Danio rerio: one gene and its partner. The protein of the gene in region 1 purifies or fractionates together with the protein of each later gene. This does not show direct contact. Links are inferred from orthologs where the notes say so. Each region holds a gene or a part of one and is shown on either strand. Other genes may lie near its edges. The genes, in order: cep97 and sugt1.

The links.
Region 2: the proteins of cep97 (region 1) and sugt1 purify together in Homo sapiens (affinity purification with mass spectrometry; 3 studies listed by BioGRID and IntAct, with this or other methods). This does not show direct contact. The link is inferred for Danio rerio from reciprocal best matches to the Homo sapiens genes CEP97 and SUGT1.

The regions. Positions count from the first base shown.
Region 1 is NC_133176.1:194,005-210,762, forward strand, and holds cep97 (centrosomal protein of 97 kDa), read left to right. Parts: upstream 1-8,377; 5' UTR 8,378-8,387; coding exon 8,388-8,445; intron 8,446-8,783; coding exon 8,784-8,932; intron 8,933-9,205; coding exon 9,206-9,364; intron 9,365-9,444; coding exon 9,445-9,546; intron 9,547-9,629; coding exon 9,630-9,743; intron 9,744-9,914; coding exon 9,915-10,078; intron 10,079-10,442; coding exon 10,443-10,601; intron 10,602-10,700; coding exon 10,701-10,813; coding exon of another isoform or gene 10,814-10,843; exon of another isoform or gene 10,844-10,866; intron 10,867-11,109; coding exon 11,110-11,548; intron 11,549-11,760; coding exon 11,761-11,836; intron 11,837-12,084; coding exon 12,085-12,372; 3' UTR 12,373-12,782; downstream 12,783-16,758. Other genes in the region: rpl24 (large ribosomal subunit protein eL24), read right to left, coding at 3,091-3,171, 3,303-3,366, 5,969-6,105, 6,492-6,602, 7,961-8,036, 8,162-8,166; nfkbiz (NF-kappa-B inhibitor zeta), read left to right, coding at 15,072-15,321, 15,894-15,991, 16,082-16,121, 16,215-16,297, 16,434-16,738. UniProt on the Homo sapiens protein: Acts as a key negative regulator of ciliogenesis in collaboration with CCP110 by capping the mother centriole thereby preventing cilia formation. Required for recruitment of CCP110 to the centrosome.
Region 2 is NC_133176.1:29,648,988-29,663,359, forward strand, and holds part of sugt1 (protein SGT1 homolog), read left to right. Parts: intron 1-5,108; coding exon 5,109-5,179; intron 5,180-6,707; coding exon 6,708-6,761; intron 6,762-6,855; coding exon 6,856-6,884; intron 6,885-7,325; coding exon 7,326-7,345; intron 7,346-7,448; coding exon 7,449-7,545; intron 7,546-14,372. UniProt on the Homo sapiens protein: May play a role in ubiquitination and subsequent proteasomal degradation of target proteins.

The DNA of each region.
Region 1 (16,758 bases):
ATGAGGAGTGCAGCTGATTTAGTGTGGTAATTTACAATCAGTGAATACAGATCAATGGCCACAAACAGACAAACTGATTCATGCAGTTTATTGGAAATGATAGAGCTGAAGTGGTCATGTCAATGATAATATTAACACATACACATCTCAGTTATGTGTTTTGAATAGCATGAATCAACAGTGTACAATCAATGTACATAATAAAACAGAATAACAGAAAGCACATAAACAGACCAGCAGCAAAATTTTCAGATCAGCCTGGCAAGGTGTGAGCACAATGGCTGGGAGTAAAGAAGATAGAAGGGGCAATGAAACCAATTTAAATGGTTTAAGTTCTGTGAGAGAGTTTGCTGAGGAATTATATACAGTTTACTTAAGGTTTGATGAGGATGATTTTAAGTCAGAAAATGACATTTTAAAACAACATCTGTCATGTAGTAAATCCATAAACATTATTAGGACTCAGGTCAAAAACCTCTTTCAGAGAATTAATACTAAAAAAAGCCCAGGCCCAGATAATATTGGTGGTAAGGTGCTGCATACATGTACTGAACAACTTTCTGAAATATTTAATTGCATTGTTTTCAGTCTCTTATGTTGTAATAATCTCAGTTTATCGTGGACTTGAACACAGACACTTATCCTCCACAATGGCGGCACACAATGGTTCCTGTTTGTTTGTTTAGTGTTTTTTTTTTCTTGATTTCGCAAGACAAGACCGGCAGCTGTAGTTGCCAGAATCACTAAAGGAAAGAAAAACTCAAGTTACAGCCAAAACCAAAGATGACATCAACTGAAAATAAAACTCTAGATAAAAATAATAGTACAAAATAATTAGACAATATAAATGTTCTTTCTGAAGATCTCAGCAGAGATCATTTAACAACTTAAATCAGTGGAGCTTCACTCATTACTGAGCTCAGACTTTTCTGTCATGTGGACAAAACTCTTCATGGAGTTGCTGTTGTTCAGTTGGTCACCATGATGGAGGTCAGCGTCTGCTTTAGTTGGCCTCTTCAGCTGCTTACTTCAACACTAGATTTATTTAGGTAGCCATAAGTCGGTGTGTTGATCACACAATTTGTATGGCACGAGAAGCCTAAAGGAAATTTAGGAATAAATGTAATGAGGTTATTCACTTCTATAGACTCTTACTGTACACTCTAAAAAAGCTGCTGAATAACACCAAAAGTGGTTCTTTGGCTCGTAATGAAAGGGCAACCGGGTGCTTTATAGCAACTTAAGAGATAGATGCTATATAGTACTTTTTATAGAAACTTTTTGGTGCCATATAGCACCTACATTGTTAAAATAATAATAATAAATGGGCATTTTTTTCGTGATTTTGTGGGAAAATACCAGCAGCTCTGGTTTTCAGTAAACAAAACAACAAACATAAACATTTTTTTAGCAATCCTCGATTATAAGTAACTTATCTGCAGCTGTGCTTCCGTTTCTTGGGCACTCAGTAGTGTGGACACTTAAGTGTTCATTTAAAACTGAGCATTTGGCTGTGGGGTTAAAGGGTTAAACCTTCTCCACTTGATTAATCTTATTATAGTCTGGTTCTGGATTGGATTTATACAGATTTGCCTGTATGTCACATCTTCTGCTCCAGCAGTTGGCTTTACAGCAGCACTTCTCATGTATGCAGCCTTGCTCAGCGAGAAGCTTCAACATTTAGTTGTGCTCAGGTGTGAATGCTGTTTTCTGTTTCAAATATGCTGTGATAAACACATTTTATAATTATTAAAGTTATATTGCGGTGAAGCAGAGGGTAACTCTGTCGCCTCACAGCAAGAGGGTCGCAGGCTTGAGTCTCGGTTGGGTCAGTTGGTGTTTCTGTGTGGAGTTTGCATGTTCTCCCCGTGTTGGTGTGTGGTTTCCTCCTGTTTCCCCCACAGTCCAAACACATGCGCTATAGGGAAACTGATCAACTAAACTGGCCGTAGTGTATGAGTGTGTATGGGTGTTTCCCAGTACTGGGTTGCAGCTGGAAGGGCATCCACTTTATCAAACATATGCTGGATAAGTTGGCAGTTCATTCCGCTGTGGTGGCCCCTGATGAATAAAAGAACTACGCTGAAAACAAAATGAATTAACTCTAAGATTACAGCCAGTTCCCCATTTTATCAAGTGAAAAGGTAATAAACGTCACACATGACTGATTTTATCCTACTTAAATGTTTGAAATGTAATGTTGTGCATTACCTTGAGCAGCTGTTTCCCCATGCCGTGTGTCTGCCTGATGCAGTGGTGTTGCTGCTTATGTCTGCTGTACCTCTGCATAAGCACATCACGTTCAGCTGGAGACAGAAATGCTGATCTCTTCATTCAGATGTTGCCATGGTGACTCTTCATATCTGCGCTCCGTCAGTAATGCCTCTCGATAGCTGCGGTGTGCGCGCTTAACTCTGATTCAGTCTACTCAGACTTGATTGACCCATCACAGAGCTCAAGTTTAAACTGAGTTTGTTGAACCTCCTTACTGAAACAGGCCCCAGATCTATTGAGGCGCCGTCTGAACAATGCAGGTTAGTTCCCTCTTGACCATCTCTAGTGTCTGTACAGCTCTGAGCACCGCATTCAGCATTGAGTAAAGCACATAGAGCGTACTGGACACTTTAAACGTATTAAATGACTGATTATTTTCATAATTATGGGATAAAAACACAGAGAGAGAGAGAGAGTCTCCTGCAGCAGACACAGACAAAGCTGCACTCCAGTAAAAGAGCAACTGTACCCTGACACGAGCAGACGCCGCTGGATTGAACACACATCAGAACATTTACTGCAAATAGACTTAAGATGTCTGCGAGCCCAAACCCTGATCAACTCAGCAGCAGGTTCAGAACAGCCGCTCTGTTTACAGTTAGAGTCGAACACTTCCAAACAACAACAACAACAACAACAACAACAATCAGCGGAGTAAGCCACATCCACAGCTGCAGCCGCACACAGGCCCTGACCACTGAAGCGGACAGGGAACAGTGTTCTGATAAACACACAGCATTACTGATCCGGCTAAACACACACACAAACACGCACACACTGAAGGTTAGCAGTGAATCTTTATTAGCACATCAGAGTTTAGCGTTTGCCACCGACGCGAGGAGCGCTGACCTTCATGGGCTTGGCAATCTTCTGTTTCTGAGCTGATTTAGCAGGAGCCTGAAAACACAAACACAACCAATGAAGACACACAACACCTGCACTGAAGACAGAGAGAGAGAGAGAGAGAGAGAGAGAGAGAGAGAGAGAGAGAGACAGACACACACACACAGTAATCTGCAGCTCTTTACCTTGCTGCTCTGGGTCGTCTGCTTCTTGGTGGCCTGCTTGGCTTTCTTCGCCTCCTTTGCAGCCCTAAAGATCAGATGCACAGCAGCGTTAGCTGTAGCAAGTGATTAGTGCGCGCACACACACACACACACACACACACACACACACACACACACATCTATCTATTGGCCCATTTTCACTGAGTGGTACGGTTCGGTTTGGTACGCGTTTATGGCCGTTTCAAAGAAACTTTTTCCTGTCAAAAGGCTTACCGTACCGTACTACTTCTTCTGCACCCTTTCAAAAGAGTACTAAACACGAGAAAGGGTACCAAAAGGCGGCGCTAAACACGCAGCTGAACGCTATTGGTTTACAGAGACTCTTCATTCGCTTGCGCAACAAGCCAGAATGAAAACAAAAAGCCCGCCATGTTTAAAATACACACGTTTTCTTGCTTGTGCTCGCCGCGCGTCTATATCTGAAATAACGAACTTCTTGAGCTGATGAGGATAACGTGCGCTTGATAACTGACGTGCTTTTGAAACCCGATCCTGTCAGACACTGACAAACGCAAGAGCGAATCGCAAAAAAACAAAGAAAACGGGAAAAAGCAGCACATTATTCCTCCAGCAAACGTGAACACACTGCCTTGCTTTATTTTTCATCTTCACCTTCTGGACTAATATGAACACAATGATGGAGTGACTCTAACAGAGGCTGCACACACACACACACACACACACACACACACACGCACGCACGCACACGCACGCACGCACGCACACGCACGCACGCACACGCGCACGCACGCGCACGCGCACACACACGTACACACACGTACACACACGAGAGGTTTGCTCTGACTGTGGGCTGTATTTTGTGTTGTTTTGAACCTAAATAAGGATGAAATGTCTGCTGTGTGTAGTTTATCTGTAGTTGGTAACATATCGGAGACTGTAAGGGTCTGTATGTGTTCATATGTTCATTAATTTATTTATTTTGTATAATTACAGACGTTACAGTAGGCTATTTTGCACTGTCATTGATCTGCAGATATAACCAACTCCTGTCTACAGAAAAGTTTGTAATGAACATTTATACACGTGTGTGTGTGTGTGTGTGTGTGTGTGTGTGTGTGTGTGTGTGTGTGTGTGTGTGTGTGAAGCGTCTGTGTGGTGAGAAATGCTGCTCATATGATATGTGAGCGACCCGTACAGCTTTACTGCAGACATTTCCTCGAGCGAGAATGATGCGACTGAAACTTCCTGTCATTCACCACACCCACCAAAAGGAGACCCTTGGTAATGGAAATGTAAGCCTGATAAAGGTGACCCGTACCAACCCGAACCGTACCGTAAAACGAGGCATAAAAGCAGAACGAGCTCACGCAGCTCTTCACAGATAATGGACATGATGACTGAGGATTCTGCAGTCCTGCAGATCAGTAACCCGTGTAAACGCGTGTTTGGAGTTGGGCTGCTCGTTTATGGGAAAAATCATAATCCCGATTATTTTGGTCATAATTATAATCACGACTATTCAAAACGATTATCAGTTGAAGTCAAAATTATTCATCCTCCTGTGAATTTATTTTTATATATAAATATTTACCAAATTATGTTTAACAGAGGGGGTTTTTAACAGTATTTTCTATAATATTTTTTCTTCTGGAGAAAGGCTTATTTGTTTTGTTTCAGCTACAATAAAAGCAGGTTTGAATATTTTGAAACCTATTTTAATAGCTTGATATTATTAGCCCCTTTAAGCAATATATTTGTTTAATGGTCTGCAGAAGAAAATACTGTTACACAATGACTGGTCTATTTACCCTAATTAAGCCTTTGAATGTCACTTTAAGCTGAATACGAGTATCTTAAAAAACATCTAGTAAAATAGCCTATAATGTGCTGTCATCAGAGCAAAGATAAAACAAATCAGTTATTAGAAATGAGTTCTTAAATCTGTTGTGTGTAAACCGCGCTTTAAGCATCTCCACTGTATTTTTTATTTTATTATTGATTATTAATAAAAACAGTCGGCAGCAGCAGGAATATTGCGCGGTCACTTTAAGAATAGTGCGGCTCTGATACGGTTTCTCTTTCTCGTGTCTTTTGATTCTCAACTTGTTAGTTTATTACACAGATGAGGGTTAATATGAATAATCACTAAACACCGCGCTCTGACACAAGTGTGCATGTGTTTCACCATTAAAGCGCTCGCATTAAGATCGCATTAGATGTGTGTGCTCTGCTGTCCGAGGCTAAGCGCGGCACGTACGCAAACACACACACGCTAGCTATCTGAGGTTAAGCACAGCGCACACACAATAGCACGTACCCTTTTGCGCTTTTAAAAATGTGAATGATGCGCATCCCGTGCTGCACAAGTTACAGTACAGCACATCTTTCAGTCATTTTCACATGGAACTGAGCTTTGCAGAGGCAAAGAGTTTTCACACTTGTACAACTGGAAAGGGTGCGGTACGTGATGGAATAATCGTTTATCTCGATTCACGGCTTTTCATAATCGTTACAAGCCAAAATCAAAATCAGATTTTCGATTAATTGCACAGCCTTAGTTTGGAGATTTCCATGGTGACAGGAGCACCACTACAACTAGCATCAAGCATGACCACTGAATGAAGAGAGAGTGTGTGTGTGTGTGTGTGTGTGTGTGTGTGTCTCACCTGATGGCCTGCTCGCGCTGGGCTTTACGCACTTCAGGCTTCTGGTTCCTCTTGGCCAGAATCTCGGCCAGAGAAGCGCCGGTGATCGCCCGCTGGAACTTTACTGCACGACGTGTGCGCTTCTTCGACACCTCCTCCTGAAGAGCACAACACACACACACACACACAGGTCAGTGTACTTCATTAGAGCAGTGGGGTCTGCTCCATATCTCCAGCACATGACGTCTGCAGCCCTCAGCCTCCTCACAGGAGTACACGTCGCCCTTCACTCGCAGTAAAACACTCTCTGCATGATTCAGTGGAGACGAGAACAGCAGCGGTTGATCATGCTGATATCTGCTATGCTGGCTTCATGTTCTCCTCAGCTGCAGTATATCTCCATAAATCTATGATGTAATGTAAATGTACACAGGAGGAAACACACTCTTCTCCACTCCTGGACTACACTACCCATAATGCACTCTGTCTGAGACTATACACCCCCCGTGCACATGTGCCCGGTGAATAATGTTAATGAACTCACAGACTGGCCCTTCTTGTGCTTGCGGCGGTACAGAACGGTCCAGTTGATCTGCCTCGGGTTCCTCTTGGACAGAAACGCAGACTCACATTTGGCATTGAGGAACTGGAAAACCTGCAGTAGAAGAGCATCTCCATCAGAACACAGCAACATAATCAATAATCAATAATCACACATGGACCCCAGTGACCTGTGCTGAAGCGCTCCATGCTAAACGGCCCTCTGCAGACACGTACAGCTCAGCTATTAAAATCGCGAAAGAGCATGTGCTGTTGTGTGTGTGCACAGCGCTTAGCCTCGGACAGGTAGTGTGTGTGTGTGTGTGTGGGTGTGTTTGTGTAGCCTCGGACAGGAGAGCACACACGCACATCTAACGTCATCTTAACGAGAGCGCTTTAATGGTCAAACACATGCACATTTGTGTCAGAGCGCAGTGTTTAGTGATTATTCATATTAACCCTCATTTGTGTAATAATCAAAACATGTGAGAGAAACCATATCAGAGCCGCACTGATCTTAAAGTGACAGCGTTTCTTTTCTCTTTGACAGACACATAATTATTTTACTTGACATTTTTCAGGACACTAGTATTCAGCTTAAAGTGACATTCAAAGGCTTCACTCGGGTAAACAGGCAACTCATTGTATAACAGGAGGACAATCAAATATATATATATATATTGCCTAAGGGGGATAATAATATTGAGCTTTTAAAAAAGGTTTAAAAATATTCAAACCTGATTTTATCCTAGCCAAAATAAAACAAATAAGCCTTTCCAGGAGAAATATTATAGAAAATCCTGTCAAAATTCCTCCGTTAAACATAATTTGGTAAATATTTATATATAATAAATTAACAGAAGTGCGAATAATTTTGAACTGAAAATCGTTTTGAATAGTCGTGATTATAATTATGACCAAAATAATCATGATTATGATTTTTCCCATAATCGATCAGCCCTAACACACAATCTACAGCGCTCAGCCAAAACACTGGAGGAGTTCCTGAACACATCAGCCAGAGCATGCGGGATTCAGCACTTCACCATCAGCAGCAGGAGGAGGAAGAGGAGGAGATGCTCTTATATTAATAACAACGCGTACCACTAATTCTCTTACACACACACAGATATGTAGACATACATTTGTGTGTGTGTGTGTGTGTGTGTGTGTACACACACAGCTGATCGGCAACAGTCTTCAGCAAACCCGAACCCTAATATAACTCTAGAACAGTAAAGTAACCCATCATGCTGAACTCATAATGACGCTAAATTAGCCAGAGTAACCCAGTGTCTGTGTTAGCATTAGCAGCGGGGCTCGCCATTACTAACCCATCGCTAACTGTAGTTAGCCAACAGTATCGAACTACCCTGATGAATACGAATATTCACATAATAATAATGACAATATTAATAATAATAATGAGGATGATATTAGTGAGCTGCTGGTGTCGGAGTAACTCGGCTTTACCTTTCCGTCAATCCTGGCGTATCGCCGGCCGTGACCGGGATAGATTTTGTATCCGCTAAAACTGCACAGCTCGACCCTGCAGAGCACAAATGAGCGTCATTACAGACACGCCGCGAACATTAATAACTCATAAACACTTTAATCGGCGCATCTGTGAGGTTATATTGCAGATGTTTGGGGATGAACACAGAATACACTCACTTCATGGCGGCGGTTCAGACGGGGAAGAGGAAGAGGAATTGTGGGTAAGCGGTTTATAAAGGAGCCCGTTTCGTTAAAGTAAAATATTTTTTTGAAGTAAACATATATTTGACATAGGAATGAACCCTACTATTCTGTAAAAATATCCAAAAATATAAATATTTTCAGATTAAATCATCCAATGAAATCTGCGCTCGGTTGCCTGGCGGTGACACAAGCGGGAAGTATGGCGGCGACCGGAGCGGGGATGGCGGATCCGGTGCTGCAGATGCCGAATCACAGAGGTACGGCAATATCAGCCAATAATATTGCAATAATCCACGAGTTTGACTAAGCGGAGACTTTAAACCGCAGTGTTTTTCTGCAGACCGGCGATGTGTGCGGATTACCGAGTTTAACGGGGCGTGTGGGGTTCCGCCGTGTGTGTGTGTTTGTGTGTTTGTGTGTGTAAACTCCGTCATTCACTGATCACTGATCCGCTGCTCTCCACACACCTGCGGGAAAGCGTTTATTGGCTTGGTGTGTGTGTGTGTGTGTTACTGATGTGTGATCGATGATCTTCCTGATCGCTGTAGTGATCAATACTCCACAGCCGTGTTTATTCTGCGCTGTTCTCTTTCAGGTCCGGGGGTTTTAGACCTGTCGGCTCGGGGTCTGCAGCGGCTGGAGCCTCAGCTGTTCCGCCCGGATTCACACACACACACCCTGATCCTGGATCAGAACCAGCTGATGAAGCTGGAGCACCTGGAGCACAACCCCGACCTGCAGCAGGTGTGTGTGTGTGTGTGTGTGTGTGTGTGTGTGTGTGTGTGTTTGATGAACTATAGCAGCGTCTGATGGAGAAGATGAAGATAGAATGTGAGGATTCAGCAAACACGACACACTCTTAGTGCACTCAGTAGTGCTCCACCACACACTCACTTCACTCACTCCTCTAAGTGCACTACTGTAGTGAGTAAGGGTACAGGGGGTGATGTGATTTTGAAAACAGTGTGTGTGTTCAGCTGTGCTCGCAGTGATGTACGTGTGTGTGTGTGTGTTCAGCTGTCGGTGGCCTGTAACCGTCTGGTGCGCATGATGAACGTCTGCAGACTCACGCAGCTGCGGGTCCTGGACCTGCAGAATAACAGCATCGGCTGCATCGAGGGCCTGAAGGAGCTGCAGCAGCTGGAGCGCCTCAACCTGGCCGGGAACAACATCAAGGTGAGTGTGTGTCTGCAGCGGAGTTCACCTGAGCATACGGTCACACACACACACACACTCCTGCTCTGCTGTTTGTGCAGGTGATGGAGCAGCTACACCACTGCGTCTCCCTGCAGCACCTCGACCTGTCTGATAATAATATCTCGCAGATCGGAGACGTGTCCAGGCTCTCGGCGCTGCAGGTGAGTCCGCCGCCGCTCTGAATGATGATGATGATGAGGATGATGATGAGTGTACAGTAATATCCTGCTCACACACACTGCAGACGCTGCTCCTGCACGGAAACATCATCACCACACTGCGCTCGGCTCCTGCTCACCTGCCGGCACACCTGAGAGTGCTGTCGCTGGCGGAGAACGAGATCCGGGACCTGACTGAGGTACACACACACACACACACACAAACACACACACACATTCAGGCTCACACTGCCTCCTCCTGTGCGGTTCTGCATGTGAGTGTAGGCAGATGTCTGACCTGACCTCGCTGCACAGCTGAGGATGCAGATCTGTCCTGATGTGTGTGTGTGTGTGTGTGTGTGTGTGTGCAGGTCTGCTATCTGGCTCCGGTGCGGGGTCTGCAGCAGCTCTCCCTCCTCAGTAACCCGTGTGTGTCGTGTGTGTCCTCCGCTGTGTGTGATTATCGGCCATATGTGCTCAGCTGGTGCCTCGGCCTGGAGCTGCTAGATGGAGTCGCCGTCACACAGAAGGAAGGGTGAGTGGAGCTCGAGGAGGAGGAGGAAGAGTGCTCATTATTCAGTGTTCATGCTGTGATGACGTGCTGCAGTTTCTGATCTGTGCGTGTGCGTGCATGTGTGTGCATGTGTGTGCGTGTGTGTGTGCGTGTGCGCGTGTGTGTGTGTGTGTGTGCGTGCATGTGTGTGCGTGTGCGCGTGTGTGTGTGTGTGTTTGTGTGTGTGTGTGTGTGTGCGTGCATGTGTGTGCGCGCGTGTGTGCGTGCTTGCGTGTGTGTATGTGTGTGCGTGCGTGTGTGTGCGCGCGCGTGTGTGTGCGCGCGTGCGTGTGTGTGCGCGCATGTGTGTGTGCGTGTGTGTGTGTGTGTGTGTGTGTGTGTGCAGGCTGAAGGCGGAGTGGCTGTACAGTCAGGGCAGAGGGCGAGTGTTTCGTCCGGGCGAGCACACTCAGCTGCTGCAGTATCTGTCCCGCACGTGTCCCGCCGCCGCCCGGCAGCCCCCAGCAGAGGACGCCAAACTGGAGAAGATCCTCAACAAACAACGGTAGAGTCCAGACCAGCAGCACCGGCACCGCTCATAGCAGCACCGCTCACTGTGTGTGTGTGTGTGTGTGTGTGTGTGTGTGTGTGTGTGTGTGTGCAGGCATCATCAGAATCAGCTGCAGCATACACATCACCAGACTCCCTCTCGCCCCACACACCTGGACGTGCAGCAGCTCCACCAGAGCACACCTGATGAAGATGAGGAGGATGAAGGTGATGATGTAATCGCTCAGGCTGCTGTGTGTAAGATGCGGGTTTCTGTGCTGGTGTGTTTCCTATTCCCAGTGGTAAAGCACAGTACAGATGAGTGCGTGTGTGTGTGTGTGTGTGTGTTCTGCTGATGTTTGTGTGTGTGTGTGTGTGTGTGTGTGTGTGTGTGTGTGTTCTGCTGATGTTTGTGTGTGTGTGTGTGTGTGTGTGTGTGTTCTGCTGATGTTTGTGTGTGTGTGTGTGTGTGTGTGTGTGTGTGTGTGTGTGTGTGTGTGTGTGTGTGTGTGTGTGTGGTGCAGATGTGGAGCCTGCAGTTCGGGTGAACGCGTGGATGGACTCTGTGTCTCCACCCTTGGCCGCTCCTCCCCCCTCCGCTCCTCCCCCCGCTGTGGCTGCAGACGGGCTGCTCCTGCAGGATCTGGAGGCCCCGGGGCCGCTGGCGTCTGAATCTGCCGCTCCTCCGGCTTCAGCTCCTGACAGCGGAGAGGAGGAGTTTGAGGACTCTCTGGCTCCTCCCACATCCACTCAGCACCGTGCCCCAGGGGAGGAGCCAGTGTGTGGGGGCGTGTCCTCAGAGCATCAGCAGTGTGAGCCGCAGGACGCCGCCGTGAGGATCCAGAGCTGGTGGAGGGGCCAGTGGACTCGCCAGCGCCACCCGCAGGCCAGAGCGGTGCGTGCAGAGATACGCATGCGGAGGATGCAGGACCACATCATACACCTGAGCACACAGCTGGACAGGTGAACTGTTTGTGTGTGTGTGTGTGTGTGTGTGTGTGTGTGTGTGTGTGTGTGTGTGTGTGTGTGTGTGTACTTGTGAGGTAAAGTGGAATGAAGAGCGCTAGAGGTCAGAGGTCGGCTCATCTCTGCTCCGAGAATTGAAGATGACTCTAGTTGAGATCAAGCACAGCGTGAACTGAAGAGTGTGTGTGTGTGTGACTGCTTTGTTTCAGGGTCCGCCGGCAGCAAGAAGAAGAGCGACTGCAGAGACGTGTTCAAGAAGAAGCAGTGAAGGTTCTGTGGAAACAGGTCAGTGAAAAACACACACATAAACACACACAGACACACACACACACACACTCACACACACATAAACACACACAGACACACACACACACACACACACTCACACACACACACACACACACATAAACACACACAGACACACACACACACACACACACACTCACACACACACACACACACACACATAAACACACACACACACACACACACTCACATAAACACACACACACGCTGAACATCTGCTTCTCCAGCTGCAGGTGTTGTTGCAGTGGCAGGCGTCTGTGGACCAGCGGCTTAACACAACACACACTCCTGCGCTCAACAAGACACACACTCCTGCCGACAGCGCAGCACACACTCCTGCAGACAGTAGCACTGACACACACACACACGCTGATCTCTCGGTGCCGGAGTGCGGTTCTCCGTGTGTGAACAGCAGCGCCGCCTCTGGAGACGCGCAGAACTGCAGTCTGCTGGAGCAGTACCTGAGCTCCGTCCAGCAGCAGGACGAGGAGGAGCGCGCCGCACACGACCTCTGACCTCTGACCTGACCGCACCGAGGCATTATGGGATGTTGAAGGTCTCTGCCCTCGTCAGCAGTCGTGTATGATTAAACATCAGTTTTCTGCCAGTTCTCTTCAGTGCTGCTGACGGAGGCTCCCTAAGAAGTGCTGATGCTGTCTGAGTGCACTTACTGGTGCACATCTCTCCTTCACAGCCTGCAGCTGTAGATGAAGACGCCGCCGTGGAGTAATGTCAATGTGTTGGTCATCTGCTGCAGTTCAACCCCGCAGAGAGTTTAGCAGGCTTCAGTGTGTGTGTGTGTGTGTGTGTGTGTGTGTGTGTGTGTGAGCGCGCTCGGCATGTGCTGCAGCAGTCTTCAGTTGAGTGTTTTGTATGTCAGATGTTTTACAAATCATTTTTGTAAATAAAGTTTTAATTTCCTTCACCGCTGTGTGTGTGTGTGTGTGTGTGTGTGTGTGTGTGTGTGTGTGTGTGTGTGTGTGTGTGTGTGTGTGTGTGTTTATTTCCATCAGGAAGATTGGTCTAACACAGTGGTTCTCAAACTGTGGTACGTATACCACTAGTGGTACGCGGGCTTCCTTCTAGTGGTACGTGGAGGGATGCAATATGGCATGTACATGCTACATATATTTCCAAATTTATCAAAAATGATGTATATAGTATGCCATACATGACATACAGCCTATATTTCTGAGGTATTTTGCCACATTTTTTTAACTGTGCAGAGTTGTAGCTGCTTTACTGGGCCTACTACACTACTGTATTTCAATACTGCTCATTTTGGTGGTACTTGGAGAGACTATTTTTTTCTGAGGTGGAACTTAATGAAAACAATTTGAGAACCACTGGTCTAACACATTATTGTTCCCTCATGTGGATTATTCAGTGTGCAGAAATACACAGTATATGTTATAAACACTGAGCTGATGTTGATACTCCGAATGCCGCTAGATGGCGCTCTCCGTGTTCCTGCAGTGTGTGTGTGTGTGCGTGTGTGTGTGTGTGTGTGTGTGTGTGTGTTCGTGTGTTTGTGTGTATAATGTTGATTGTTTTCTCCTGCCCTGTGGGTTATCTGGCTCCTCTGTGGACCTTTAATAAACCCTCAGCAGGTTCTGCTCAGGGCCCTGTTTCAGTAAGGAGGTTCATAGCGGATCTGAGTTGGGTCAATCAACTTTGAGTAGAGCGCGCGCACCGTGACTATAACCAGGCATTATCAATGGAGCGCAGATATTACGAGTGACCATGGCAAGATCTTAAGAAAAGAGATCAGCATTTCTTTCTCCAGCTGAACTTGATGTGCTCATGCATAGTTATAGCAAATATGAGCGAATATTTTGAAAAGCAACACCACTGCATCAGTCAAACAGAGACAGCATGGGGAAACAGCAGCTTGAGTTAATGCACATTTTTACATTTCAAGTATTTAAATATTTAAGTTGAATAAGATAAGTAATGTAATGTGTGACGTTTATAAAATCATCACACACGTTCCCACTTTTATACATGTTGATCAGTTTAATAGATTTAACAGTGCACTTGTGTGTCTGCCTTCTTATTGATGCAGTGATAGAGGCTGATATGACATTTAGAATGTGCAGAACTAATGCTAATTAATCTAAGCTACTTGTCCCTGCTGAAGGTCAGTCAATTTAAGCTTTATTCATTAAAAAATGACAAGCCATTCTCGTACGTGACTTTGTTCTTTGTGTGACTGTAATGGCAATAGCTGTGTTTCCGTCCAATAATATTAATTCAATTTATGCGCAAAACTGGAATATCGCTTAAAGATTTGTGCGAATAAAGCAGAGTTTCCATCCAACGAGTCAAAGAACAAAACCGTCACTTCCTGATTAAACGAGCACCAAATATCAACAGTAAAGCAGAATTTACTAGAAGCTGCGGCAGCCTCAATCTTACTTTTAATAAACACACTTGCGCCTCAGAACACAATGAACACGAGGGGGCGCTTGAAGCCATGAGACGCGGAGGACAGACGCTCCTGACACGCTCCAGACGCTCTGGAGGTCATTAACAATATAATACCATTAATACTGAAACAGTTCAGGATTTTTAGAATGAATGAGCAAAACAACATTTCAGATGTGTTACAGTGTGCTCAGCCATTCACACACATTTTCATTATCAAATAACAAACCTTTTTAATGCACATACTGTAATTTGTTCAGTAAAAGTGTTTCCATCGAAGTTTATGCGCATCTTTTCTAGCGAATAAATGTTTATCCTACTCATTTATGTGTATGTTTTTATGTGTATTTTTCAAAGTTATGTGCATCATAACGTTTCCATAAATCGTTTTATGCGCATATACAAAATGAGCATCAATATAGGTGTGTGGAAACGCAAGACTAAGGCGAGAAATACCGCTTTATCTTTAAAAAAGAGAAGAGACCGACAGAAACTCTAAGTTTAGAGAATAAAACCTGCTCCTGGCCAGGTTAGGTTCACAGAATAAGTTTCCACAGTAACTGACTCTGAGTTAAAGTGACCTCTCCTTCAGAAACAGGTTGACTTACCCTGCTGTCTCCAGTTTAACAAACCTGCCATTTTGAAACGGAAAACCCAGAGTTTCTCTTACTTAACCTCCTTTCTGAAACAGGCCCCTGGTCTGAGAGCAGAAGTCGCCTCGTGAATTATTCTGTATCGTGTAAACACCTGGACGTAATGACGTGTGTCTGGGGCGTCTCTCTAGCTCATGACGTCACGTACGTTTAAAACCCCCAGCGGAGCTCCAGTTCGTCATTCAGAGCAGCAGCAGCAGCAGCAGCAGAAGATGATCATCGACCGAGTTTCTGACGGGTTTTCGGGTCTGCTGGACCGGGACGCGGATCTGATAAGTCCGGTGCAGCTGTGGGGCTTCCCCGGCTGCAGTTCCCCCACAGAGCCGCTGCTGTCCCCGGGAGAGCCCAGCTCCGACTCCGAGCACAGCTGGAGCGACGCCAGCGGTAAGGCAATATTGACATTATTAGCGTTCATTACTGTCTACTGAAGCTGCTGCTCCTGAATAACACAGCAGACACACGGGAAAACCCCGAGAATAGCTGCAGGGTTACAGGGCTTTGTGTTGGTCCAGTAAAACTGTTGTGTTGTGGCCGGCGGACGGGGAATGTCCCGAAACCCGCCAGAAACCGTCAGATAAAACTGTTTATTTACCATTTTGAGGAATGTAAAACACAACAACAGTCCCAGTGTAGCTCTGATTTGACATCTGTAATTTCTAGAGCTTCCGAGAATCTAAAAAGAGCCACATGTTGATCAATAATGTTATGACGAGAGCTGCTTTAACATCAAGTTATGACTGAGTTTCCTCTTATTGCTGACTGAAGTACAGAAAACAAGCAGGAAACGCGCATGCGCTGATGACGTCACCATGCTGAAATGGTCGATAGTGAGAGCCAAACATGTTAGACTGCCTGTAGTGTGTGTGTGATGTGTAGTTTGACCAGGTACAGCAGGTGTGGTGGTGTATTATTGGCTGCTCAGTATCAGGTGTGTGTGTGTGTGTGTTTGTGCGCAGTGGAGGCGGAGGGCACACGCAGGAGCCGCTATCAGGGTGTGCGCGTCAAGAACACGGTGAAGGAACTGATCATGCGCAGAAAACACCTACACACACAGGTACACACCTGCACACACAGATACACACCTGCACACACAGATGTGTTTATGACATGTTTATGACACACACTGACTGATCACTGCTCTCAGGTGCAGCAGCAGCAGTTCGCCGTCGATGACGAGTGCGCAGGTAACAGAGCCGACCGCCTGTTAGCAGTCCAGGAAGTAGTTTGTCCTAAATGACTGAGGTGTTGTCTGTGTGTGTCTGTGTGTGTGTTTGCAGTGCTGCAGAGCAGGAAGAGGACAGCAGAGAGTGTGTGTTTCTCTGCTGTGAAGCGCGCGCGAGCCACTGACGGATACACACCGGTACAGTTACTGAATTACTGAGTCTGCTTCAGTCTGCACACACTGAGTAATGATTAAACCGCTCAGATAACAATAACACGGTGTGTGTGTGTGTGTGTGTGTGTGTGTGTGTGTGTGTGTGTGTGTGTGTGGACAGATGGAGTGTGTGTCCAGTGACTGTGATCTGCTGGAGGATCTCGGGGTTTTTCTGGCTCCGCCTCTCTCCGTGGGCTCAGTGATGGAGAGTGTGTGTGCAGACGCGCCACCGCTTTACATGCAGAACACACTCCCCGCTGTGCAGAACACACTCCCCGCTGTGCAGAACACACTCCCCGCTGTGCAGAACACACTCCCCGCCGCGCCGCCAGTTTCCTTCTTCCAATGGCAGATCCAGCAGGAGGATGAGAAACTGTCTGCGTTGAGCCCTGCGGAGCTGATGAGCCGAGATGAGGACGGAGACACGTCAGTACACACACACACAC
Region 2 (14,372 bases), about 29 Mb from region 1:
TGCTCCTGATGACACACTTGCATCCACGTATCTGCCAAGATCTGTTTGACCAGGCGGTGGATTTAAGCTAATAATATTGTGAATAATATTTTTTAATAGCTGCAGTCTAAGATTGTAAAAGTGAGTCGTTTCTTGGCATGAGTTTGAAAAGTTATTTTGTTGTGAATGCTTTGATCAGAGAACTTTGTTTATACATTCTGCATTTAGAAATGGCATGACTGCCTTTTTTTCCCCACTGTCCAAAGAGATGTGCTATAGGTGAATTAGAATAACTATATTGACCTAAGTGTGTGCGCGTGTGCAGGGGTGTGGGTGTTTCCCAGTAATGGGTTGTGTCTGGAAGGGCATCCGCTGTGTAGAACATATGCCAAAGTAGTTGGCAGTTCATTCCGATGTGGCGACCAAGTCACAGACTAAGCCGAAAATTGACTGAATCAATGTCTAAATGTTTGTTTCTCAAAGAATATGTTCATCGTATAAATGTAATGTATTAATATATCAGGGTATAAATCAGGAGTATTACACTATATGGACTCAAAATTTGGTTTAGAACAGGGGTGGGCAAACTCGGTCCTGGAGGGCCGGTGTCCTGCACAGTTTAGCTCCAACTCTAATCAAACACACCTGCTTATAGATTTCTAGTGATCTTGAAGACACTGATTAGTTTATTCAGGTGTGTTTGACTAGTGTTGGAACAAAACTCTGAAGGGACACCGGCCCTCGAAGATCAAGTTTGCCCATCCCTGGTTTAGAAAATCTGTTAAAATATTAATTCAAATATTCTTAAATTTTACTTTATATATAACAATTTGGCAATGTACAGTCAGGTCCATAAATATTGGCACATCATCACAATTCTAACATTTTTGGCTCTATACGCCAAGACAATGGATTTGAAATGAAACAAACAAGATGTGCTCTAACTGCAGACTGTCAGCTTTAATTTGAGGGTATTTACCTCAATTGGTGATCAATTTACCCAAAGCAGCTAAATGGTGTAGGAATTACAACACTGCAGATGTGCCTCCCACTTGTTAAGGGACCAAAAGTAATGGGACAGAATAATAATGATGATCCTTTGCAGTAAATAATAACCTGAAGTTTGTAGCGCATAGACATCATGAGATGCTAGGTTTCTTCCCTGATGATGCTCTATCGAGTCTCTACTACTGCAACTGTCTTGAGTTGCTGCATGCTCAATTGGATTCAGGTCAGATGATTGACTTGGCCATTGCATAAAATTCCACTTTTTTTCCCTTCAAAAATTCTTTGGTTGTTTTTAAAGTATGCACTGTGAAGCGCCATCCAATGAGTTTTGAAGCATTAGTACATATAGTACATAATACTCCATTTCCTTCTTTAAAGATGCCAGAGAGCTTACACTTGTGATCTATAAAATTTAGCATATGAAAAAATAAGATTAATCATTTCAAAATGAAACTGCCTTTCTCCAAAACACCAAACAATATAGACTTCTAAAAATATATAAAGTGACAATCGATATTTTGTAGAATAAAATCGCAGACATCTTGCTAAAATTGCTTAACAACAGGACAATGTAAAAACAAATGTATCACAGTTCAGGGCAACTGGCACTAAAAGAGCAATTAAAGTCAATGGTCAGATTTAAATTTAATCAACTAATTTTTAGCTTGGTATATCCTGTGCATAGTTTTGAATGATACTTCCATTATCTCAATTGTAATTAAATATTGATTAGCTGTTGACCATGCCTTTTTCCAACCAATATTAGCTGCGTCCCAAATGGCACACTATACACTATGCACTCATGCACTATGTACTTATGCACTTACACACTCAACAGGATAGTATATGTATGTAGTGTCGTCCCAAATGGCACACTTATGTATTTTTACTAAGCGGAAATTCAAACCGTTTCCCTGATGACGTTTGACTGTTGCCAAATCAGTGAAATAAACAACTGAATTATCAAGTAATACCTGCCGTGAGTATTGCTGCATTCACCATCGGGAGGCGCTATAATCACTCTCGTAGGAGAATTTTGCTTTCACCATCCAAAATAAATAGTTATTCAACATATGCGTCCGATTGCTCCGCCCCTTCCGCTACGTAAGCAAACCTGCGGTCGTTCAGTGCGTGAAGTGTCCATCATTACACACTTCATTTTAGCGGCTGAATGAGTCTTGCTGCACTGATGTGTGATTTAACAGAAAAAAAACATATACTACCTTTTTATATTAAGCAGAAACAACTGAAGGTTGTTTTTGTCTGATGCTTAAATAACACAGACTTCAAGATAAATATCCTCAAAAACTTTGTCATAATTCCCTGATGTTACAGGAATCTTGTAATGTGCCAGACATTCATTATAAGTCAACAGAAAATCATTTAAATTAAATAACTGACCCATTATTATGATGTCATCATTATTATAGAAGGAATACTGGAAAAATTGGTTCCAAGACATCATAGCCATAAGCTCATAATTAGCCAAATTTAGGTATACCCCAGATGTTCTTGTAAATTGGTTACAGACATTCAACAGACATTTAACTGACTATAAGAAACATTGTAAGTATATATCAACTTATTTTACACTAACCCCAACCTGACGGTCTACTTATAATATAATGAGAGTTAGTTAGCATGTAGATGCAATGTAACTTAAATTCAACAAATAGACCATCAAAATAAAGTGTGATCGTGTCATCTGTTAATCATGGATTTTTATCTCTCTGTCAGCAATCGTAATACCTCTTATTGGGCTTGAGTTAATATAAGAGAAAAGAAGCTGACTTACAGTAAGAGGTATGGAGATACTAAGCACCCGTCTAATCACTTTAGAAATATCATATTTTGGGGAGGTACCATTAGATAACTTCATAGAAAAGTTGCCATTTTTAGAAAGGGTTTATTTACTGTAGAGCAGGGGTGTCAAACTCAATTCCTGGAGGGCCGAAGCCCTGCACAGTATAGTTCCAACCCTGCTCCAACACACTTACCTGTAGGTTTCAAACAAGCCTAAAGGACTCTATTAGTTTGAGCAGGAGTGTTTAATTAGGGTTGAAACTAAACTGTGCAGAGCTGCGGCCCTTTTGGAACGGAGTTTGACACCTGTGATGTAGAAAAAAAATGACCCAAATCTAATTTCCTTAACGTAGCAAGGATAAACTGATATTCTACAGAATCAAATGATGTACAAAAGTGTAAAAATAATATAAAATTCATTAATCATGTAAAAATCATTAATCAACTTTGAATATTCCAAAATAATCAAACCTTTGTTATTATTCATAAATTCTGATTGTGATTTATCAATTACTAAATCTAACAATAGTTTTAATCTTTTAGCTACAATTAAGGCCAACAACTTTGTCATTACTTTAATTATCATTTTACATCAAAATTAGTTTTTTTTTTTTTTGTTTAATATTTGTTAATTAACTTAAAAGATTTAATCTTGTTGAATGGTGAGAAAATATTGTTTAAATTTAAGTCATTACAAAATGACAGAGTTCTACTTATTTTTAGATAATGAAATTGTATTTAAATAATGACTAAAGTCTTTAATCCTAAAATAAACAGGAAAGGAAACCAAAACAAGAATTTGATTTAGTGGAGACAGATTTATAGTAGCCATATATTATTTTATTTCTCACTTTTTTGTACACTTTTTTTTTTTCCTTTGACAATGCATGTAATTGATATTTTGTGTACTGTATACAAATATTATTTACATGTCAGCTCTTTATTAGCACGAAACGAACTTTACAGTCCATGGTTTTGAAAAATAAAGGTAATTGACTTAATTGTGTGGAAGCACGTTTTGACAATCAACAGATTTTCTTTGGCTCCGAAGCAATTTTATTTTGAACAGGTTAAAGATTCAAGTATTTTTGAAGATTTTAACAGATTTGTGTGTGTTGAGCATCAGTTAAGACAACGTTAGCAACTGTTAGCTTTAATTTTGTAGAAAACTGGATTAGTTGGAGCTTTTGTCAACTAATTTCATCTTCCGTGTTTAAAATCATTTTTGGGGCGGGATCAAAATCAGTGATGTAGCACAAATTACAGATTACAGAATTACAAATCTAGTTTTAATTTGGGAAATGCTTTAGATATATGTGGGTGCGGGAGTTTTGTGCATTATAAACTGATTACAAATCAGATTACAAATGAATGTCCTGTTCATTTTAATTAAAAAAATCTTGGATAAAGCATCTCTTCTTTTTCCATTTGTCCATATATTGCTAATATATTTTCTAATACTTCTATACTTTATTTTAATTGAATTTATAGAGCCAAATTAAATATGTTTAGACACAATGCATTTATAAAGTAATATGCTTCGTTAAATTACATTCAGCCATCATGCTTTAGCTGCCATATGCATTTGTCAAAAATCTGTAGGTAAGTGTAGTGTAATTACTTGGCTATTTAACATCAGGAGTGCAACGGTTCAATCTGCTCATGGTTCGGTATCTATCATGGTTAGGCTTCACACATGACTTAAGATTTGCATGTTCTCTCTATAATTAAAAAAGTAGAACATTTTGAAAATTGGATATTTAAATAAAATCTTTTTAAAAAATAGAAAAAAGCCTTTTTCTGTTTTACACATTGACTCAACTGTCTCAATCACTTATGCAAATAATAATAATAATAATAATAATAATAATAATAATAATAATAATAATAGTTTCAACAAATCTTAATAATTGAGCACTTTTAAAGTATTGACTGCTTCTGCTGGGTCTGGTATTTTAAGTGTTGAGATAAGGAATGGCCACATAACAAAGTGGTTAATATATATTTTTTTAATCATGAGAAACACAGTAAGTAATGTTTGTTGTATTGCAATGCTATATAAGTCAAAGTAAATTTAGAAATTACACTTCTTTCTTTTTTATTTGTGTTTTCCATACTGTGCCAACTTTTTCTGATTTGGGTTTTTACATCATAGTCTTCTGATGGGCTAAGCAAAGAATCTGATCATGTGTAACATTCTAGGACAATGATATCTGTCATGTATAGTAATATTTACTGCTTGCCAATTCACAATACTTTAAAAAAGTTAAATATTTTAAATGACAGGCCTAATGTTCTTTTTGTCATTGTTTTTGAAGAATTGCGGAGTATCACCTACATAACTTTGTCGCTGCTCATCAGGCCCTCACAGCAGGAAGAGACCTTGACAGTGAGTTAATTTTTTTTCAAGTATGGAGTGTAAAGGTAATGCGACACCACATTAATTTGATGGAAATGTGATATACTGGCTTATTATATTGTAGCTATGATAAAGTGTCAATTTGTGTGTATATAATTGTATATTTGTGTGAGCCACAATGACAGAAGTCACAATGAGACAGATAAAAACTATATATTTTCACATAATCTGGTCCATGTTGTTAATTAGGAGGTCAACTAAAAGCACAAGTGGTTTCACTTTCTCTAGAGAGCTCTATTGTTTATATTTTAAACAACTTTTTGTAAGTTTTAACATTTCAGAGACCATAAGGCTCAGTATATGTTTTTTTATTTTTTTTATTTTGTATAATCTCAGATGTTACAGTAAGCTATTTCACATTATCATCTGCAGCTATATTCAAATCATGGTTACAAAATGGTCTGAAATTAACATTCATACATAAGTATTTATGTATATAAAGCATTTTAAGAAGTGCTTCTCATATGATATTTGAACTTCAAGCTAGAATGACCTCGACTGCCACTTTCTGTCATATACCATGCCAACCAAAAGGGTGCCAGTGGATTACTGTAAAAAAACAAGGCTTCATTAGCATTCACACTAATCAAGAAGTCTATCTGGGAAGAGATATTCTGAACAGTCCTCACTTAAGCATGCAGTAAGTCACCAAGTGGGCGATGTGTGTATTCACAGTTAAATGTTAAACCTAAAGTGTGGGAAGAATGATCAGAAAGAACAATTGCATTAAAATGCAATGCTTAACTAGAGAAAGCTTATTTTCAATTAAAAAAATGATAATAATCTGGGAGAAAGATTGATGGGCATGGGAAAAAAGAATAACCATGCAAAGAAGGATTGAAGAAATGCTAGTCATCAGTGAGAAAGTTACTTTCTTAGAAAGTCTACCAGTTTTTGGGTTTAGGCAGATATTAAAGACACTCCCAATAATTAAATAGATAAAATGTACATTTGGTAATACAGAAAAAAAAATCTATCTTATCTACAGCTAAGTTAGGTGTATAGACCAGCTGTCAAAATTTGATTGATTGCTTCTGGTCTAAGCCCCGCCCCTTTAAGCCAACTTTATACTTCCAGTAATTAGATTCTTATCAATTATATATATTATAATTCCAGTTGTTCAAATTGTAATCAGATTAATGAAACTATAATGCAGGTCATTTTAAGCTATTCAATTAGTTATTAGATCTGTTATTATATTTTAATTATTTATTTAAAATTATTATAATTCTATTATTTTGAATAAACTATTTACTATGTTATATTATAATTAATAAACGCATATAAACATTTGTTTCTGTTTATACTAAAAAGATACCATGCATGAGAATACTGCAGTTTAACTGTATCTGAAGCAAATATTATTGGCACTTAAATGTATAACATTCATTCATTGGTGCCTTTAATTGATGCTGTTGAATTTAAAAGATGTCATTGCAAAATTAGTTTATATTAATTATATATTAATTACATTTTGATATGTATTTGTCATACAAAGGTTCTGTTGAAGAATTTCAAACATGGATGCAGCACTGTGAAACTGAAATGGCGAGTATGTATAACGTAAATTTTTTTTTTTAATTCAATATTAGTTCGGGGATTGTGTGTATGTGTATGTCTAATACAATAGTTTTCTGATTTTTTAGCACACATTCCAAACAAAACTTCAGATTTGGTAAGTGTCTGTTTACTGTCTTTATCTATATGTAACTGGAAAAGAAATATACAGTATTATGCTAGTGCTTTAATTTTATTGCCTGGTTTTTATCATCTTAATTTAAAGAAACACAACGAACCCTTAATTGAGAAAACTGAGTAATTTGATACATGAGATCAGTTGTTTTTGTTAAACGATGTGCTGTTGATGAATTTTAATTGTTAGAATATTTTTTTAAATATAGAAAAGTGGTATTTATAAAATGTTGTAAACTTGATCAGTTTTTTTTTTGCCATGACCTAGCCAAAGAAGCTGAAATGGCAATAAACTCTCTCTCTCTCTCTCTCTCTCTCTCTCTCTGTCTCTCTCTCTCTCTCAAACAATGATTTGTGCTTTTTTTTTATTATTTTCCCTCTGTTTCTGCTGAAATGCACTTACAACTGACTGTTTAAACAACAGCAAACTACAACCCATGTCAAGTAAGTATGGTGGTGTAATAATTTTATTTTAAATTCTTTGTGTTTAGTAGTACAAATATAGAATAAAATTGCATCACATTTAATGAATTTCTGCTTCATTCAGACATGATTGGTACCAGACAGAGTCTCAAGTTGCAGTTACCATCATGGTAAAAAATGCCAAGAAGGAGGGTGTGATTGTCAGCTTTGGCGAAAGGGAGGTAATGTTTCTCTCCTTTTTCATGTCATCAATGATTATGCGCTGTACATAGTTAAGGTTGAGAGGTGGACATCATGGTATATAAATAAAGCTTTTTAACTAATATAATAAGCAGCCATGTGGCTGGTAGGGTATACATATACGGTGACATATGCATAAATTGACATAAACATACAAGTGCACATTCCAGGTAAATGAAATGTCTGTAAAAGGCAAGTGTATAAGAAAACTAACCTGTCTCTTCTTGGTTTGGTAGCTTCGAAAAATTTAATATAAAGCAAAAATATGAGTTTATATAAAATGGGGTGATTACAAGTCTAATCAGTAGGGCTGGAACGCTACACCAAAGTCACAGTTTGGTATGTTCCCTGCTTTTGGGGTCACATTTTGATAAGAGTTTAGTAAAACAGTAGGGCTGCACCATTGACCCTTTGCTAATCTACACCCAAAAACCGCCACCCACCAATCGTGGCTTAGCAACTGTAGCTACACGCAGGGGCTCTGTCAAGCTTTCGAGTGAGTGCATATGGATTGTGCAAATCTGATACCTGGTATCCCTAAAGTTTGGTCAGGATGGTGGAATTTTTTCCCTTTTCAAAACCAAAAACCCAAGAGGAGAAATGCCAGCGTGGATCAAGCTCTGTGAGGGGCACTAAGCGGAGTTAAGTTGGTTTTGTTTTGATATTTCTGACACAATAAGTGATAGAACCACGGCAATAACTCACACACCTCTTACCCTAAACAGACCTAAACTGTGTTTCCTACAAAAATACAAAGCAGGTTATGTTTCCCAGCTGTCTTTTTCTTTTTTTTTTTCGCTCTATATTATGAGCACTGCTCCGTTTAAGGCTTCGCCATAGTAACTTAGTCATACTAATAGCGATTAGGTCATGAGTTATTGATCCGGAAAATGCAAATCTGTTGCTAACTTTACTTAACTTCATATTTCCATCTATTTCAAGCTACGAATATTTGAAATTACAAATCAACAGAACAAAACCGAGATATAATCACAAACTGAGCACTTGCGATCAATATACTTTACCAGCAGCTGTTTTTCAATATTTTATAATAAGTACACAAACATACTGACAGCTATAGATAACTCACTGTACATTGTTATGGGTCAATGATGCTAATATTTAGCACAAATCCTTGAGTTTCCCCTTTCTGGCTGTTCTTTCTATGTATATACTATGTAAAAGCACTATCATGCGTGTTTCCTCGTTGGTTAGTAATGGTATATTTCATTGCACAAAAATTAATCTATCAGGCTTTTTGGCTAAAAATAGAGAAATCACGGTTTAATTTGTTATTATGGGATTATTTTTAAATTTCACCTCTACTGCCGAGTATGAACTAAGCTGTTGAATGGTTAGAGTATGAGGCGGCTAGGTTAAGCTAGCTTCAGTTTTGATTAAATTATTCTCTAATCGGTTGCCTTTTATGTGGTGAATATACCCCTGAAATGCATACTGCAGTCCTTTTTTGTCTGGCTTTCTCGGACATCTCACCTGTTCGCCAAAAATTACATTATATCCCTGGCAATGTCTGACAGCGGCGCATACACATTGTAACAGCCGTGCCAGGCATGATAGCTTGTCAGGCGTAGCAACAGTAACTAAGGAGGTCTGGGCTTAGCGAAGAGTCAAATTGTAGATAAATTTGAATTGCGATTGATCTGATCAATATTGAGATTTAAAATATGATTTGCAACAATTTCTTTAAAAGAGCTACAGGTTTGATGTGGTGGTTTTAACATCACCAAAGAAAGACCAAGCATAACCACAAAGTATTATACACTATGCTAATGTTTATTTAAAACCTCTTAATATACATCTCTATTTCCTTATTATATTTTTCTGAAAAATGTCACCAATCACTTTTTTTTTTCCTGGAACGTTAGTGGACTTGCCTCCCAGACAAAAAGTATCAAAGTTTTAAAAGAGCCCATATTATACATGAAATAGAGTCATATCTTGGTTGTAAGGGTCTCCAACAACAGTCTAATATGCATGCAAGGTCAAAAAACACTTTCATGGTCTTATAATCTGTATTTATTTTTACCTAATTGTCCCAGCGACTCCTGTATGAATCGTCCAGTGATTCATTTGTTCCCAAACCCCTCCTTAGCGCGAAGCTAATCTGCGCTGATTGGACCGATGACAGCCTGTTGCGATTGGTTGACTGCCTTCAGTCAGAGTGAAAAGCCAAACAGCTAATCAGCAATATAAAAGTAATCACAGTTCATACACGCTCGATAGTGTAGGCGTGGATTTTAGCTGCCAGTGGGTCAATGTAAATACAGTCGATGGACTTGAAAATTCAAACGACTATTTTATTGAGCAAAAACTCCAAAAACTGTCGAGGAGATCACATAGCTTGTCTCACTCTGCCCTTTTTACAGACACACACACATACACACACATTGCCCTCGTCCTTGCGTGCGCACGCACACACAAAAACACACACACACACACACACACACACACACACCTCAGGACGACAGCGAACGCGCACATACACACTACCCTCGTCCACGGAGCTCCGTAAACAAAGCAGCACGCGTCGCGTTTTTAACGTGACTTTGCACGCGATAAGAGAATATAGCCAGTTAACCTGATACAGTACACGCGGTTACAAGTAACAAATCACAACTAAATACATTTGCAAGCTAGAGTCAACGAGGCAACAACTTTAATCGCACGTACTTACACTTGAGAAATGGAGGAAGAAACCCATCCTGACGTCCATCAGTAAGTTACTCTTTACTGATCCTTCCTTTAACAAACGCCGATAAAGTATTCTTTGTAGCATGTAGTTTGCAGAAGTTTCCAGTAGTTTCCAACTGCTTGGTTATAATACTGAGGTTTCATCTTTGGCGAAACGCCTAATGACTCGGTATCAAGGCGACTCGTTTGAAGCGCTATGAGTCGACTCTTTTATAGATGAATCAACCGTTTTAAACACTGTACTCTTACAGATTTAAGCCTTAGCTGGATACTTTACTTCACTTAGAGCTGTGTTACACACTACATGGAGGGGAATTTTCAAAAACCCATAATATGGGCTCTTTAATCAATTAATTACAAGCAGACATGCCGAAACGATCATAACATCTGATCATAACATAATTAAATCATCACAGTACAATCATTCTAAAATTCTCTCCACATCATCTTCAGCCATCATCATTACTAAAAGACTAACATCACGCAGCTTCACACTACACTGGAGAACTAGATACACTCTCTCTATCTCTATTTATCATTTTTATTGTACCACTGTAAACATTTAAACATTAATGCACACCATAAAATTAGTCTCTACACTGATGATGTATTATTATATTTACGAAATCCTCAAACATCTTTACAAAATACAAATAAACTTAATGATACGTTTTCAGATATTTCTGAATACTCAATCAACTGGAGTAAATCTGCTATACTTCCATTAAATTCCACCAGTGTGGATGTGACATCCCAAACATCACTAATCCATCAATGTTTCCCCCAGGCTGTCAGAGTTGTTTTGACTTAACTATACTTAAAAAAGATCATTTTCAACATTGAATGAATCCATTATGGGCGGAATATCTGTAACTAAAATGTGTATGTTCCTCAAAATAAACTATTTATTTTCAAAGATTACAGCACAACCCACTCGTACCATGTTTAAATTTTTAAAACCGTAAAAATCCCAAATCCCAAAATCCCAGAGTTAAAAGGTTATAAAAAAAAAAAACACATTGAGGTCTACTTTCTGGCAATTCTGATGTAAAGCATACAGTGGGTACGTAAAATATTCAGACCCCCTTAATTTTTTCTCTCTGTTCTATTGCAGCCATTTGCTAAAATCATTTTAAGTTCTTTTTTCCCCTCAATGTACACACAACATAAAATTGACATAAAAACAGTGTTTTTGCAGATAAAAAAAAAAAAGAAAAACTGAAACATCATATGGTCCTAAGCAAAAGTTCCTCTCTTTCAAAATTATTATTAATATTGTCATTTTAATGTTGTTGTCTTTATTATTATTTTTTTTTTACAATTATTATTATTATTATTATTATTGTTATTATTAATATTATTGTTATTATTACTATTACAACTACTACTACGTGCACAAACAAACATACAGTTGAAGTCAGAATTATTAGCCCCCCTGAATTATTAATGCCCCTGTTTATTTTTTCCCCCCAATTTCTGTTTAACGGAGGGAAGATTGTTTCAGCACATTTCTAAACGTAACAGTTTAAACTTATTTCTGATAACTGATATATTTTATTTTTGCCATCAGGTCAGTAAATAATATTTTACTAGATATTTTTAAAGACACTTCTATACAGCTTAAATTGATTAATTAGTTAATTAGGTTAACTATGTTGGTTAGGGCAGTGGTTCTCAAACTGTGGTACGCGTACCACTAGTGGTACGCGGGCTTCCTCCTAGTGGTACGTGGAGGAGCTGGATAATGAAAGAAACAATTAACACTTTTAATCCTTTGATGCGTAATATAACATTGATGTGATCAGCATTGGCTATTTTGTGAAGCGTACGATCACAACGCTGTGCTTAGAATGTTTATTTTAGAGCATTGTGTCAAAAGCTGCTGTAAATCAATTTAAGAATTGACTCTGAAGCTTGATTTGACTGACATGAAAAGTAGCCAATCACAGTCGACCTTGTCTAGTTGCGTAAAAAGTAAGGGCGGGACAAATGTTTTCTGTGTTGCAGAGACAGAAAAACAACTTTAAAACAAATGTTTTGTTGGAATAATGCTTGTCGGATGTTTTCACTATAGCGATGTCTAGCAGAGTAATTAAACCGCGGACATATTTTCTGCCATTTTGATGATCTACATACACGTTTCGGTCTCCGACAGCCAGTCGACTCGCCTCTGACCTGTCACTCCTCTAAATACATTCTGAATGGCAGCGCGGGAATGGAGGTATTCCGCAATAACTCATTTCTGCTAATGTGGCGAGTGCTTTATTTTAACACGAAAGCGCATTCATGTACGCAAATCGCTAAAACAGATATGCGAGCTCTTAATAAATAGGCTTTTTTTCAAATGAACTGCAAGTGCTCTCATGACCGCCTGTGTGCTCAGATTAAATACAATCGCGATCTTTCCACTATTAAAGTAGACATTATTTATCTTTGCTCCTTGACTCAATTTAGTCAAAAGTATTCAAAGTTATCAAGTATTTAGAAATAGATTGATGCATGATCGATGACAATGCTAATGGTCTTCTTATTCGGCTGTGTTGTGAAGTGAAACTTACTTTTAGCTAAGGTGGAATTTTTTTTATTCTTTTACAACAAAAGAATTATGCTGGAAATGTTTCTGGATGAGGTATTTGTGTGATCTGATCTGTCTTAAAGCATTACAGGTCAAAGCAATCCGTTGTTACTTATTGTTTATTTATCCAAATTAACAATAAGGCTCTTAAAGCACTACTTTGATAAATGTATTGTTGTCATATTTCAAATACCTCAAGTAAAATAAAGTAATTTATTTTATTTTTTACTGACAGTGTACTTGTATTTTTTTACGTTTCTATTTTAGATTAAGATCAAGTGTAAAATAAAATCTACATGTGATGTACAGCTATTTAAGAAACAAATTTGCCATATTGTAAAGAAAAACAGTGTAACAAATGTAAATAAAAGGCTAAATTTAAATCTTTTTACCATATACTTTAATTTAACCTTTCAAAGCTTTAAAATATTGTTTAAAAAATGGGCAAAAAGTGTCTCTATGGCCTTAAAGATTATTTGATTAAATATTATTATTAATGATTTTTATTTGTATCTATTCCTATGCAATGTTTTATGGGTTGCTAAGAATACATTTCAGGTCTTCAATACATAGCATGTCAGTCTTGAAAAAAAAAAAAAGTGCCGGAATTGATTTTCATTAGGCTGTGCCTGTATGAACCCTGTTATATGTACATTTAACATATATTTCAAGATTTGTCTGAAAGTGTAGGAATATGACATATAGCCTATATTTATAAGGTCCAAGCAACATTTCCAGCTTTTGATGAATAGGCTACTATGAATACTTTAGATTTAAGTACAGCAGTTTTCTTTTTACTGTTTAAGAACAGGCCATTTTTTTATGAACTTTTAAAACCACATTTTAACTAAAACTTTTTTTACACAGTTAATGTTCAGACTATTTAAAATGTTTAAAGTGACTGACAATAATACATATTCTTAATAATAGGAATTAATTTGCATCATTTTTAAACTGTGCACACCTGCAGCTGCTTAATTAGGCCTACGACGCTATTTTTAATACTGGTTAAAAAAATTGCGTCATAAGGTGGTACTTGGAGAGACAATTTTTTTCTAAGGTGGTACTTGGTGAAAAAAGTTTGAGAACCACTGGGTTAGGGTAATTGGGCAAGTTATTGTATAACAATGGCTTGTTCTGTAGACTATTGAAAAAAAAAATTCTTAAAGGGGCGAATCATTTTGCCCCAAAAATGTTTTTAAAAAAATTAAAAACTGCTTTTATTCTTGCTGAAATAAAGACTTTCTCCAAAAGAAAAAATGTTATCAAACATACTGTGAAAATTTACTTTCTCTGTTAAACATCATTTGGGATATATATATTAGAGAGAAAAAAAAATCAAAAGGGGGCTAATAATTCTGACTTAAACTGTGTATATATACCGTTACACCCCTACAAGTGATTCTTTTTATGAGTGGAAATTTAAATAAGGTTACACATGCAGCACATTCGAATTACAAAATGTAGGTTTTGGTGTGGTCAGGACATCATTTGCTTAAACCATCCTATGAAACAAACTTT